Linked DNA regions of Bombyx mori. The protein of the gene in region 1 interacts with the protein of each later gene in a pairwise test. Links are inferred from orthologs where the notes say so. Each region holds a gene or a part of one and is shown on either strand. Other genes may lie near its edges.

The links.
Region 2: the proteins of chromatin assembly factor 1 p55 subunit (region 1) and histone acetyltransferase type B catalytic subunit interact in a two-hybrid assay, tested with the Caenorhabditis elegans proteins (4 studies listed by BioGRID). The link is inferred for Bombyx mori from reciprocal best matches to the Caenorhabditis elegans genes lin-53 and hat-1.

What each region holds. Positions count from the first base shown.
Region 1 is NC_085109.1:4,078,361-4,082,379, forward strand, and holds the start of chromatin assembly factor 1 p55 subunit, read left to right. Parts: upstream 1-1,219; 5' UTR 1,220-1,390; coding exon 1,391-1,412; intron 1,413-1,537; coding exon 1,538-1,715; intron 1,716-1,932; coding exon 1,933-2,048; intron 2,049-3,120; coding exon 3,121-3,325; intron 3,326-3,666; coding exon 3,667-3,741; intron 3,742-4,019. UniProt on the Caenorhabditis elegans protein: Core histone-binding subunit that may target chromatin assembly factors, chromatin remodeling factors and histone deacetylases to their histone substrates in a manner that is regulated by nucleosomal DNA.
Region 2 is NC_085113.1:6,756,857-6,764,572, reverse strand, and holds the start of histone acetyltransferase type B catalytic subunit, read right to left. Parts: upstream 5,070-7,716; 5' UTR 4,752-5,069; coding exon 4,691-4,751; intron 4,501-4,690; coding exon 4,331-4,500; intron 3,748-4,330; coding exon 3,576-3,747; intron 2,835-3,575; coding exon 2,678-2,834; intron 1,522-2,677; coding exon 1,356-1,521; intron 989-1,355; coding exon 840-988; intron 730-839; coding exon 561-729; intron 1-560. Other genes in the region: E3 ubiquitin-protein ligase KCMF1, read left to right, coding at 7,148-7,163, 7,337-7,504.

The DNA.
Region 1 (4,019 bases):
CAACTTGGTTTGACGTACATATGCTGGAGGACCTCCAGAAATGAGAAAATATTGAATAGAAACAACAAAGAGGACGGACAAAAAAAGATAATTAGTGCGAAAGTGATATCGGTGCCTACAGACATTAAAACGTGAATATCGCGACTCATCGAGTGGGCTCTTACACTCTTCAGCCTAGAAATAAATAGAAACAGAACCAGCGCTATGGCCTAGCATTGTGCGTTCTCATCAGTAAATAAGCATTGCCGATCGCATTACGCTTATAATATATTATCCCTGTTTTCCAATTACAGCACAAGAGCGTATTCTGCAGCATAATGCTCAACGTTGAATATTCCAACTACAGCAACGCTTCGCACAATCGAGCACTCTCAAAAGTACTGCTCTCGCGTGACACTCGCAATCACTCGCAATCGATATAGACTCAGTGACAGAAAATTGACAAGTGTTTTTTCTTTAGGTTGGCATTGTTCGAAATTTTATATAAATTATCGTTGAGCATTATGCCGCATAATGCGCTCTTGTGCTGTAATTGGAAAACAGGGTATAATATGTGATTGCCATAGTCCGACTAAGGCCTAAGCCTCTAATCGCATACGTGACCTTCGAGAAAAGATCAAATAGATGGTGCTTTTCTTAACTGAAATAAAACAACCAATTACGATACTACTAGACAGGATTGTAATGATTATTATTTAAAAAAATATTCAGTTAAGAAAGGTATTTATCGACTATATATCTCCTTCCTGATTTTCACTTTTAGAAAGATTCATTTCAAATACATACAGAAATAATAGATAAAAATTATTCTTATTTATATTATGTACGCTTTTTGCATTACAAAGATTTAAAATGAACATCTACATAATTTGTAAGCTTATAGACACCATTGATACAACATTAGCCTAGTTATACAAAAACGTAGCCGTCTAGCCCAGTTTTACATATTTCGAGATCAAGTCCATGTCTTTTTAAGTAGAAAGTGAAATGATATTGTCATATCACTTTTACCTGAAAATCATATTTTTATAAAATCAATTTTAACATTCACAAAGTAATAGGAATATACGAAGACTAATAGTTTAAGCAGCTATGATAGAAAGAAGAAAAAGAAGGCTAGAAGAACATAGCTAGTGAACAATTCCAAATTCATTTAATATTTCATCTGACGATGCTAATCTATGGCTGCATCATGAGAATGGCGAGGTCGAATTTACTTAGATTGGTGATCTGTGGCATAGATAATACACTTAATTTTTGAGATCTGTGGTCGAAACAGGAAACAGAAACAGCAACGCTAAGAATTTTGTTTGGCGCCTTTACCGGGCCGGCCTGAGTTATCAGATAATTACGTTGAAGTTCCATAAAAATAAATTCTGTTACATACAAAATGGGAGATAAAGGAGACGGAGGTAAATGATCAAGTATTGGAAGTGGTTATGTTTCTTTGTGTTTTTTAATCTGCCGACTCTGGAATGACAGCTAACAGTTTTTGGTTATCACACTTCGCCTATCAGTAATGTTTTAAAAATTGTAGAAACCTTCGATGACGCGGTTGAAGAGAGAGTAATCAACGAAGAATATAAAATATGGAAGAAAAATACACCATTTCTGTACGACTTGGTGATGACCCATGCACTGGAGTGGCCCTCGCTCACTGCCCAGTGGCTCCCCGATGTCACCAGGCCAGACGGAAAGGATTATTCCGTACACAGGTAAATTTAAATGCATATGGGGATATTAATACTTGAAACAAACTCTTTTAACAAACTTAACGTTTTTACAACTAAAATGCAATATTTAAATCTATAAAAATTCTATTTAATAATTTACTTCATACTATATCAATATAAATAAATTTAGACCATTATCATTGTAATAAGTAATTACTATGAATAGGCCGAAATGTTACATTTACATATTTTTGTGCAGACTTATCTTAGGAACACACACATCTGATGAACAGAATCACTTGCTGATCGCCAGTGTGCAACTACCTAATGAAGATGCACAATTTGATGCCAGCCATTATGATAATGATAAAGGAGGTTTGTGATGAGCATGACCTAAATTTCTAACTTAGACTTTAACTAGGTATTAGCACATAAAAAGCGAATTGAAAAAAATCAAACTGACATAAATTGAAATTGAAGGTAGTTGGAACTTTTGTTACGTTCCACAGAATTAACACAGGAGATTCATTCTCAATTTATATGTCGTGAGTTATTTAAAAACTATAAAGCACTTATGCATATTTTTATATATTTTTTAAGTTTTTAATGAACACTATGTGTGTCTTCTAGGTTGTTGAGGGACCAATACAGCGTGTATTTTCGAAAAAAATTGGCACCCGCCTTTCATATTTCATTAATGTAGTACCATTTATTTATCTGAATACACAGAGTTCAACAAAGACTTTGACTTGTGAACTGGATGTGAGGCATATTGACAGATAATTATTACCATCTTGCAATTTTTCTGTCATGAAATAGCCATTTACTTAAAGCTCACTTCATGTCCCAAGATCAGTGGTGGTAATCACATTGTGATGTCAGTAAGTTCTAATAACACACCACAGCTTGGGCCGTAAACTACTCCAAGTTTGTGCATTAATAAGGGCATATAAAACATTAAACAAAAGTCATCCTGTTTTACTACTTATCTAGAGGGCTATATGCTTGTTCACCCTGTTCAATAATTCAAGTTATAATAAACAATGATGAATTCAATAGCTTTTACTCCTGTGAAAAAAGAGAATTAAAAAAAATATAACAATTATTTATGAAAAGTGCAGCTAAAGTATATATATATGTTTTAAATTTGTGAATTGGAGATACCTTATGGCAAATGCTAATTTAAAGGCAAATATAATCCATAAACATTATTTATTTCATTTTCTTCTCATGCTTATAGAATTAGGATATAGTTCACCATATAGGACCATATGTGAATTCTGACTATGGTTAATTGCGACATTTACTAATTGTAAAATAAAATAAAACCGTTGAATATGGTAGGATGTGCCAGACCAGACACACATTACACTTTTAACAACATAGAAAAATAAATACTATTTGGCCATATCCATAATTTTATTCATTGTATTCTTTATTACTTCAGAATTTGGAGGCTTTGGTTCTGTATCAGGCAAGATTGATATAGAAATTAAGATCAACCATGAAGGTGAAGTGAACAGGGCCCGCTACATGCCCCAGAATCCTTGCGTCATCGCAACGAAGACGCCGTCGTCTGATGTACTTGTCTTTGATTATACAAAGCACCCCTCCAAACCTGAGCCTTCTGGAGAGTGCCATCCTGATCTAAGGTAAACACTGAATCCGCGATAATAAACAAACAACACAAAACTATTCAGCTCATTTATACTGTAGCTGTCAGTTTTGTACTCATCACCACTTGAAATGCTTACCAGAGTTTTTCTGTCTTTAAATGCTTCTCATGATTAACATCACAAAGTGGACCATTAATTCATTTGCTATTTAGTGCAATAAAAAACAAAATTGTTGAAGCCTTGACATTACAATTTAAACATCAATATCAAGCATATTAGATCGGTTCACAAGCTCTTTTTTATATATTTGTCTTTTTCTTAGGTACCTTGAAAAAAGTAATCTATTAATGTCTATTCAATATCATTTTATATTACAGATTGCGTGGTCATCAAAAAGAAGGTTATGGCTTGTCATGGAATCCAAACCTTAATGGATATCTTTTATCAGCCAGGTTTGTAGCCTAATATTTTATATAAAACTAGCGACCTGCCCTCACTTCGCTTCGGAAACTGTAATTTATTATTGATTTCTTTACTATTTAATGGATGTTATTATACATATAAACCTTCTTCTTCAATCACTCTATTTATTAAAAAAAAACCGCATCAAAATTCGTTGCGTAGTTTTAAATATTTAAGCATATATAGGGACAGAGATAGCGACTTTGGTTTATACTATGTAGTGATTATACATTTTGAATTCCAGTCTAAGTCTGAACATGTAATAGTT
Region 2 (7,716 bases), on another chromosome or scaffold:
TATGATAGCCTAGCATACAATACAATTGAAACTTCAATCACATTTCTCAAGGTATAGGACATTGTTCACATTGTGATATGTATGGGTTCTGGATAACCACTGAACAACAGGTTAGCTGTTTCACTGATGAATGCAATAAAAAATATTAATTTAAAAAAAATATTAGAACTAACTATAGAACTAGACTAGTCTATACATTATATAATCTTACTGTAAAATGAGTCCCTTTTTGTGAACTATGATAGAATTCAAATTACATAATATAATATTCCAATGCTGAGCATGTATGTTTTCTAAGTTTAAATTAATGTCTATTTTTTATTATTTAGGATAGTGAAAATAAATTATTGCACTCATAATGTAAGAATCTGGTTTGTTTTCAATGTTGCTGCTGGCAAGAATAAGTATCACCATTTACTTCTGTTATGAAGTAGCCATGTGTACTGAATTTGGAGGTTGGGACGTTGGTTATGTCGATGGATTCCGTTAACCACTTTAAAACCAGGTGGGTCGTGAATTAATTTATTCATCCAAGTACAATAAAAATATTAAATTGGTACCTGAAATGGAGCATTCAGTCTGTTCTTAACATCTAATCTATAATTCAAATATGCAGTCTTATCAGAAGTATTTGTATTCTTCAAACGCAATATTTCATAAATTCTCCTTGCTTGTTTTTTGTTTATTTTAAATTTATTTCGCGCCTGGATCGCCATTTCAGCTGAGAACCTTCAAGAAACATTACATAATTGGATTATTTCGATATGCAAAAGAAGTTTACATTGATCAATTTTAGAATCAATTAATACAACATTACAAATAGAAAAAGCAACACATACCCTAAGTATAAGGCAGCTGGCTGAAATGCCGGTAATCTTTCACAGTTCTTAGCATCAACATAATCTCTAACCCTTTGAAAGTCAGGTGAGGGGTCTTCAACTGTGAGATCTATCACTTCAGGTATTATTATAAAGTGAGAGTATACGGCCTAAAAATACAGATTGAAAATACTAGTAACATTTTATTGGTTAAATTTTCCATTTAAGCAATCAAAAATTTAACTCAACTAACTGAATAAGGTAAACGTAATCTACATAATATGTATGGACCAGGGTGATTAACTGATCACATAATAATGTCATATGCATTATTCAACATTCAATTTGTAGGTGACTATAATCACAACATAGTGTCATATCTTTTATGAAGCAAAATTGGAAGAAGGCTGAGCTTTTCTATGTTTTACAAAAACGATTATCGTTGTTCATGAATTATAAATATCACTTTCTATCGCAATAGGTGAGTAATTTTCATAATGGTATTACCAACAGTAGTAATCAATCTATAGTCAGTACCTGTAACATTTGTGCACAAATTCCGAGTTTTCTGAAGGGCGGTAATGTAAGAACTTGTGAGATTCGTGGACGTTGATGGTTTGGATAGGCATAATATCTGTATACAGTTGCATAGGCAGCTGTAGCGTATCGAACACTGCCTTCACTCGTTTGATATTTCTCAAAACTGGAACATAAAAACCTGTTCTGAATGATCTCATTTTAATAACTATAATACTGTGCAGGCGCGGGGCAACTGAAGCCGCCATCGTTCGAAACATGTCTTTTCGGATCCCTTGTATAGACACTTAGTGCTTTTAGGCTTTTCAAGCACCAGTCACCGTTCTCGTCGAACTCCTCAATTACGAGGAAGAGTTCGACAACCGAACTAATCGATGTACACAACCCACTAAGTTGGTGACCGCACCAGTGCACTCCGTGGGTGACGGCAATGCGCTTTTGCGATCATCATCATCGTCCGCGTCCGGTCAGGAGTCCTCGGGGTGGCTGCGTGCCTATTTACAATGTTGACCGCAATTGCCTCTTCTATCTCTCTCGGATTCCGTCCGCAGGGCTCACAATCTCAGGCGAATGTACAGGAGAGTTCTTTAGTGGATGGGTTTGGTACTACTACTTAACAAGAGGCCTGCTCACTTTGGATATCCAAGGAGACTCGACGCAGGCCCAAAAATAAAAAAAGCCCAGAACAGAACTCTCTATCACTTGTTTATTACAGCAACAAATACCATGAAACATATTTTTATAAGTGAGAAAATAAGGTTATCCTTGTCGTGAGCCTCATTCTTCAGGATGGATTAAATAAACCATGTAAGTTGGTGCTAAAAATATAGGTCTAGTATTTTTAATTGCTTCTAAGAGAATTAAATAAATTTTCTTTAGTAATTATAGATTTCTTAATATTCTTTCCCCAACCTAATCATTCATAATCTGACACACTATTTCAACTACACATGGACTGTTGGATGAATTCACAGAGCTCAAACTGGAAGGATTTGCTAATACTAGCTCTAGCAAAATCAGTAGTTTGCAGAATCTAGCGTCAAAACAGAATCGCGACCGACTGAGAAGATCCAGCGAGACACTCAGTAGGTTATGTCTATTGTTTAAGGTGTTAGTTGAACTCTTTCAACTTGTTCAAACTGAATGGTGACTGGTGCTTGCTGTTATTTATATTTATAATTTTATTTATACTAATGGTAATAAAAGTAACAACCTATTGAATTTTCGGCAGCTTACATTTCTAGCACCAGACATATCTTCTAGTTTTAATAATACAGACTAAAGCATCTAATACTATAAATACACATGCAATAACAACTTACACTGTGAAGAATGTCCACTGATCATCATCAACATCTATGAATGATGCTGCATCTACATACCACAGGAGAAATGTTTGTAAACGTTGATGGTATTCTAGAAAACCTTGAGTTGAAGTCTCACAATAATATACTTCAAATGATCTGCTCTCTCCATCAACTGTAAATTCAGATTCAATTTGAAAAATTAAATTTTAAATCAGAAAATATGAATATTTTAATAGTTTACACAATGACCATTAGATCAAATTGATAAATTTTATGTCGTTTAACAAATGAACTTGGGTATTATTTTCATTTAATATTTTTAATTACAGAGGTTACATTTTATGCACAGCTTGTTATGACAATTGAGACCCTTGACTTATATACAAAATATATGTATCAAACTGTATCCAATAGTAAATTATTATAATATATTAATGTGCAAAGAGGCTTCTGGGGTCCTATAATACAGTTCACAAGGAACTGCAGGAGCCCGAGTTACAGAAAAAAATGCAACTAAAACACTGTAACATATAGTATATGTATCTGTGGCTTAAGTTCTGTTGATATACTAATGGTAGCTTATCATCTACCCATCTGACTTGTCTAGAGAATTCCACAAATCAAGGACATATTTTACATTACTATACATTTAAAAGCAACTACTACACAAATGATGGTTGTTTAAGGTTTTTAATTTAATCTCATTATTCAGAGTTCACTTTTACATGTACAGGTACCATACCGAAATCCAGAAATAGTTGTGCATGATATCATCATTCTTATCCATAGTATTTATGGAATGTTAGTTTAATATGTGAGACCAGAATAAAAATATTTCTGGGAAACTTAATTTTATGAATATTTATTTTCTGTTTTAATAATAAAAACCCAGGAAATGAAAAAAAAAACTTACAAGGGGTTACATTGAATGCATGCAGCATTTTTCCATGTGGTGTGAATGACTCATCTTTCTTTAATTGTGACACAAAGTGATCCAAATTAGTGATATACCCTGGTGCTATAACTTTAGTCAGAGCACCCTCAACATCATCTGCTTTCATTCCTTCTGACTTACTTGGTTCGATCTATTAATTATAATTATAGTACAGAAAAAAATTGTGTTATTTGTACACGAAAAAGTACTAAATCTTTAGATTTTTTTAAAGCTCTTCAATAAATAGAATACAATTTTTTTTTTAAAGTTGGTCGTAAATCAAATGGCTATGAATAGATATTTGGTTTATATCTATACATATAAATAAAATTAGTGTCTGTTTGTAGTATCGAAATAACTGCTTTTTATTACATGCATATCTAATAAACCATTGTATTGTGCATCTACCATGTATATACGGTACATACACCAAAATAACATTTTTTACAATTTTTGTCGGTCTTTCTGTTTGTTTGTTCCGGCTAATCTCTGGAACGGCTGGACCGATTTTGATGAGACTCCACTAATAGGTAGCTGATGATTTAAGGAGTAACGTAGGCTACTTTTTTAGACTAGATTCGCCCCGCGGCCTCACCCGCGGTACAACAATAATCGCATGTAACATCGCGGGACTCTGCTATCAATAATAAAATTTAATGATTCCGAAGCGAAGCGAGGGTGGGTCGCTAGTTTCAAATAAAATTTAAAAATAATATAGAAATAAATAATAATACCTTATCAGTGTAATCAATTCCTAGATATGTTTGAAGACTTCCTGCACTGTAATATAATTTAATGTGTAGATCTGTATATCCAAATATATTCTCATTCTCTCCAAATACCTGGTGACACATGTCGGGACCAAAGCTTGTCTCTTCATTTTCGAGATCATCTACCGACCTCACTGAAAAAAATAAAGATCACAACCTTTATCTACATCTGCATATAAATTTAAATAGCAATGGAAACCGGGATCGTTGGGACTTTTTTTGGGAATCAATAAAACCTATTGTAATGTCTACAATGTGTTCAAATACAATTATAGATTTCATTTTCTTTTCAAAAATTAACTGTTATCCAGACAGCGTGCTTACCTAGTTTGAATTCCAAAACGTCGTTCCCATCAACAACTAAGTGGCACAAAGCATCAGTCATTTTGTAAAATTAACAACGGATTTTGCCGGAGCAATTCCCGCGTAAATTTTATTGTCAATATTTTTTTAATATTGCAAAAATGGAGGTGTGTAATTTACATTTCAACACCGATAAAAAGCAAATTTTGCTTTACACTTCTCACTGCAGAAAATCTTCATGAATAGTAGGAAGCAAATTTTTTTAGCTTCTATTCCGTTTCCTTGGATATGTTTACTTTAGAATGGTTTTCCTAAATATTCTCCAAAATCTATCTGCCTGACTGAATGAAATTTGAACTAGCAGAGTGAATAATGTGATCATAGATAATACACACAACAAACTTGGAAACTTCAAAGCTATAGCTTTTTTTTTAAGGGATTTTATGACCTGGTAACTAAGACCTTTAAGTCGTGTCCTATTTTAATTTATATTCTTATTTTTATGAAAAATGATAATATGGAGATAAATGAAATGAAATGAAGATGATTAATTTGAGACATTAATCAACTGTGATGAAATTAAATGAAATGAGATGATATGTAATGAAATATAATCTCAGTAAAATGGTGGTCCTTTACTGAGATTTTTTCAGTGGACTTTTTAGAGGATCCCGAGAACTTACGTCCAGCGGATTTGTTTCATTTTCCCACATTTGCGCACTTTCACAGATACACAGAACAGTCAATAAACCATCGTTATTACACATTTAAAGCTGAAGAAACACTAAATAGACAAAATAAAACAAATCACACATCTTCACTCCTCGCGTTCCCGCCAAAAAGTCCTCAAAGCTATAGCCAGTTTAAAAACACCATAGCTTAAAGTACCTAGTGTTTCGTTTTTCCAACTGAAAACGCTTACGTATCAAGCATCATACAGCTTAATCTTTTAAATAAATATTATGTTTTATGAAAAATGTTATGGAACGAAAGAAATGAAGTTGTTTAATAAGATACATTAATAAATTGGGATGAAACCGAGATGATATGGATTGAAATATAATCTCATTAGAATTTCCAGTGGACTTTTTGGAGAAGAAACATTACATTAACAAAGTAAAATATAATAAAGTAATTCTTCTTTCCTTTTGCGGGCCTACTGGAAGAGATTTCAACATGAAATAAGTAGTGCCCTTGTACTCTGTATCCTTATTGTGGTGTTTTTTCTAACAGCTGTGCGTACAAAATATATTAAATAAATAAATAAAACAATACATAAACTTGTCTCCTCGTGTTCCCGCCAAAATAATTCTTAATCCTACAAATTAATTAAGAAGGAAAAAAGAACTTCAACACGACATTGACACACTTGACGGTGGTGGCAATTTTGTCTTCTTTGCTCTTTGAGTTAATAGCAATAGTTTGGAGTATAAACTTTAATAAAACTAATAAAAACATTTGTTGAAAGCAAACATTTTTAATATTATGGCAACAAAAGAAAAGTATAGAGGTTTGAAATAGGTAACCGGCCGTCAAACATTCATTCGCAAACCTAGCGGCTGTGCAAATGGGTTCGCATACTCAATTTGCGAACCCGTTTGCGCTTCCTCCTACACTTGTTTACGATTGTCTCATGAATTTCTCTTCATTTTTAATTCGTCAATAGAACATTGAAAAGAAAAATATTTTTGAATTCTTTCCCAGACATCATTAACAGCCATGCTGTTTTTATGGGATTTCTTTTGATGAAGATACGCTACACAGTATACGTCACGAACTATGAAAATGGCGATACGTTCGTTACCTTCGCAATCGTCGGCGCAACTGGACAAGCGAATGTGTGGGAGACTACGCGAAGGCTCGAGGTTCGCGCGCTTTGATGTCTGGTAAAAAAGCGACACAGCTTGGAAAACCACGAATGCAGCGAAAACTTTGCATAATCATTCGCAAATGTCGTCCTACACTTGCGGGTTTGCGTATTCGTGCGCATGTGAGTGACCTGTGTTAGATCTTAAGATCTTAAGATGTGTTGTTTCACCGCATACATAGTGATCGAAAGCGTCCGCATCGAGATTGGGGTGATCGGATTGTGATAGCTCGGTCTTGTACCAGATGAGTGTTGGAGCTTCAATGGTCACTTAAAAATATAATAAGCATTTGCTACTTTGTTGTTTCTTAAGATCCCTAAATAGTATTGGTCTTGGTAAAATTCATTTTGTGAAAAGAAAACTATGTACATTGTGGTCTTTGCAAAATGAATTTGTTTCATCTGTGTAAAATGTATTTGTCATTCATTCATGTGACGTCATTATGACCTGGTTGGGTTAGGTTTGCTTGGAAATTTTTGTTATAAACCTTGTATTTTGTTAATAATAATTTGTTGTGCTGCCTATTTTACATTAGTAAATTTAATAGCTCCCAAAATAGAGGCCTTTTTGGTGCCAACAAGTGTTTTTTCAACGACGTTCTCTGGCGAAAATGAATCGCCATGAAGGTGGGTAATGATAATCAAAATTTGGTAGATGCTTTTGTGACTGAATTTTATTGCGAAATTTAAGAACAGACATGATAAAATAGTTGAACACATAGTTACTAAGCGGAAAAAATATATTTTACTGAAGAACAAAGAACAGTTATGTCGTCATTGTATTTATTGACAAATTTCAGGAGTCAGCTGTGATTCTTGTTTGAAAAATAACTTTAGAGGACGACGATACAAATGTTTGATTTGCATCGATTACGACTTGTGCGCTACTTGCTACGAGTCCGGCGCTACCACGAATCAACACACTACCGAACACCCCATGCAGTGCATTCTTTCTAGAAGTGATTTTGGTAAGACAAACCATCTTGTATTTAACATAATACGTCCCTTAACAAAACAGAATATATTATACCCAGCTCCAAATAAAACAGTACTTATATAGTGATCTCAAAATAAATAGTAAATACTGTGATGTGATTTCTATATTATAAAGACTAAAAATTGTAAAATGATATGCATGACCTAAAATAAATTAAATATAAGATTTCTAGAATTCAGCAAA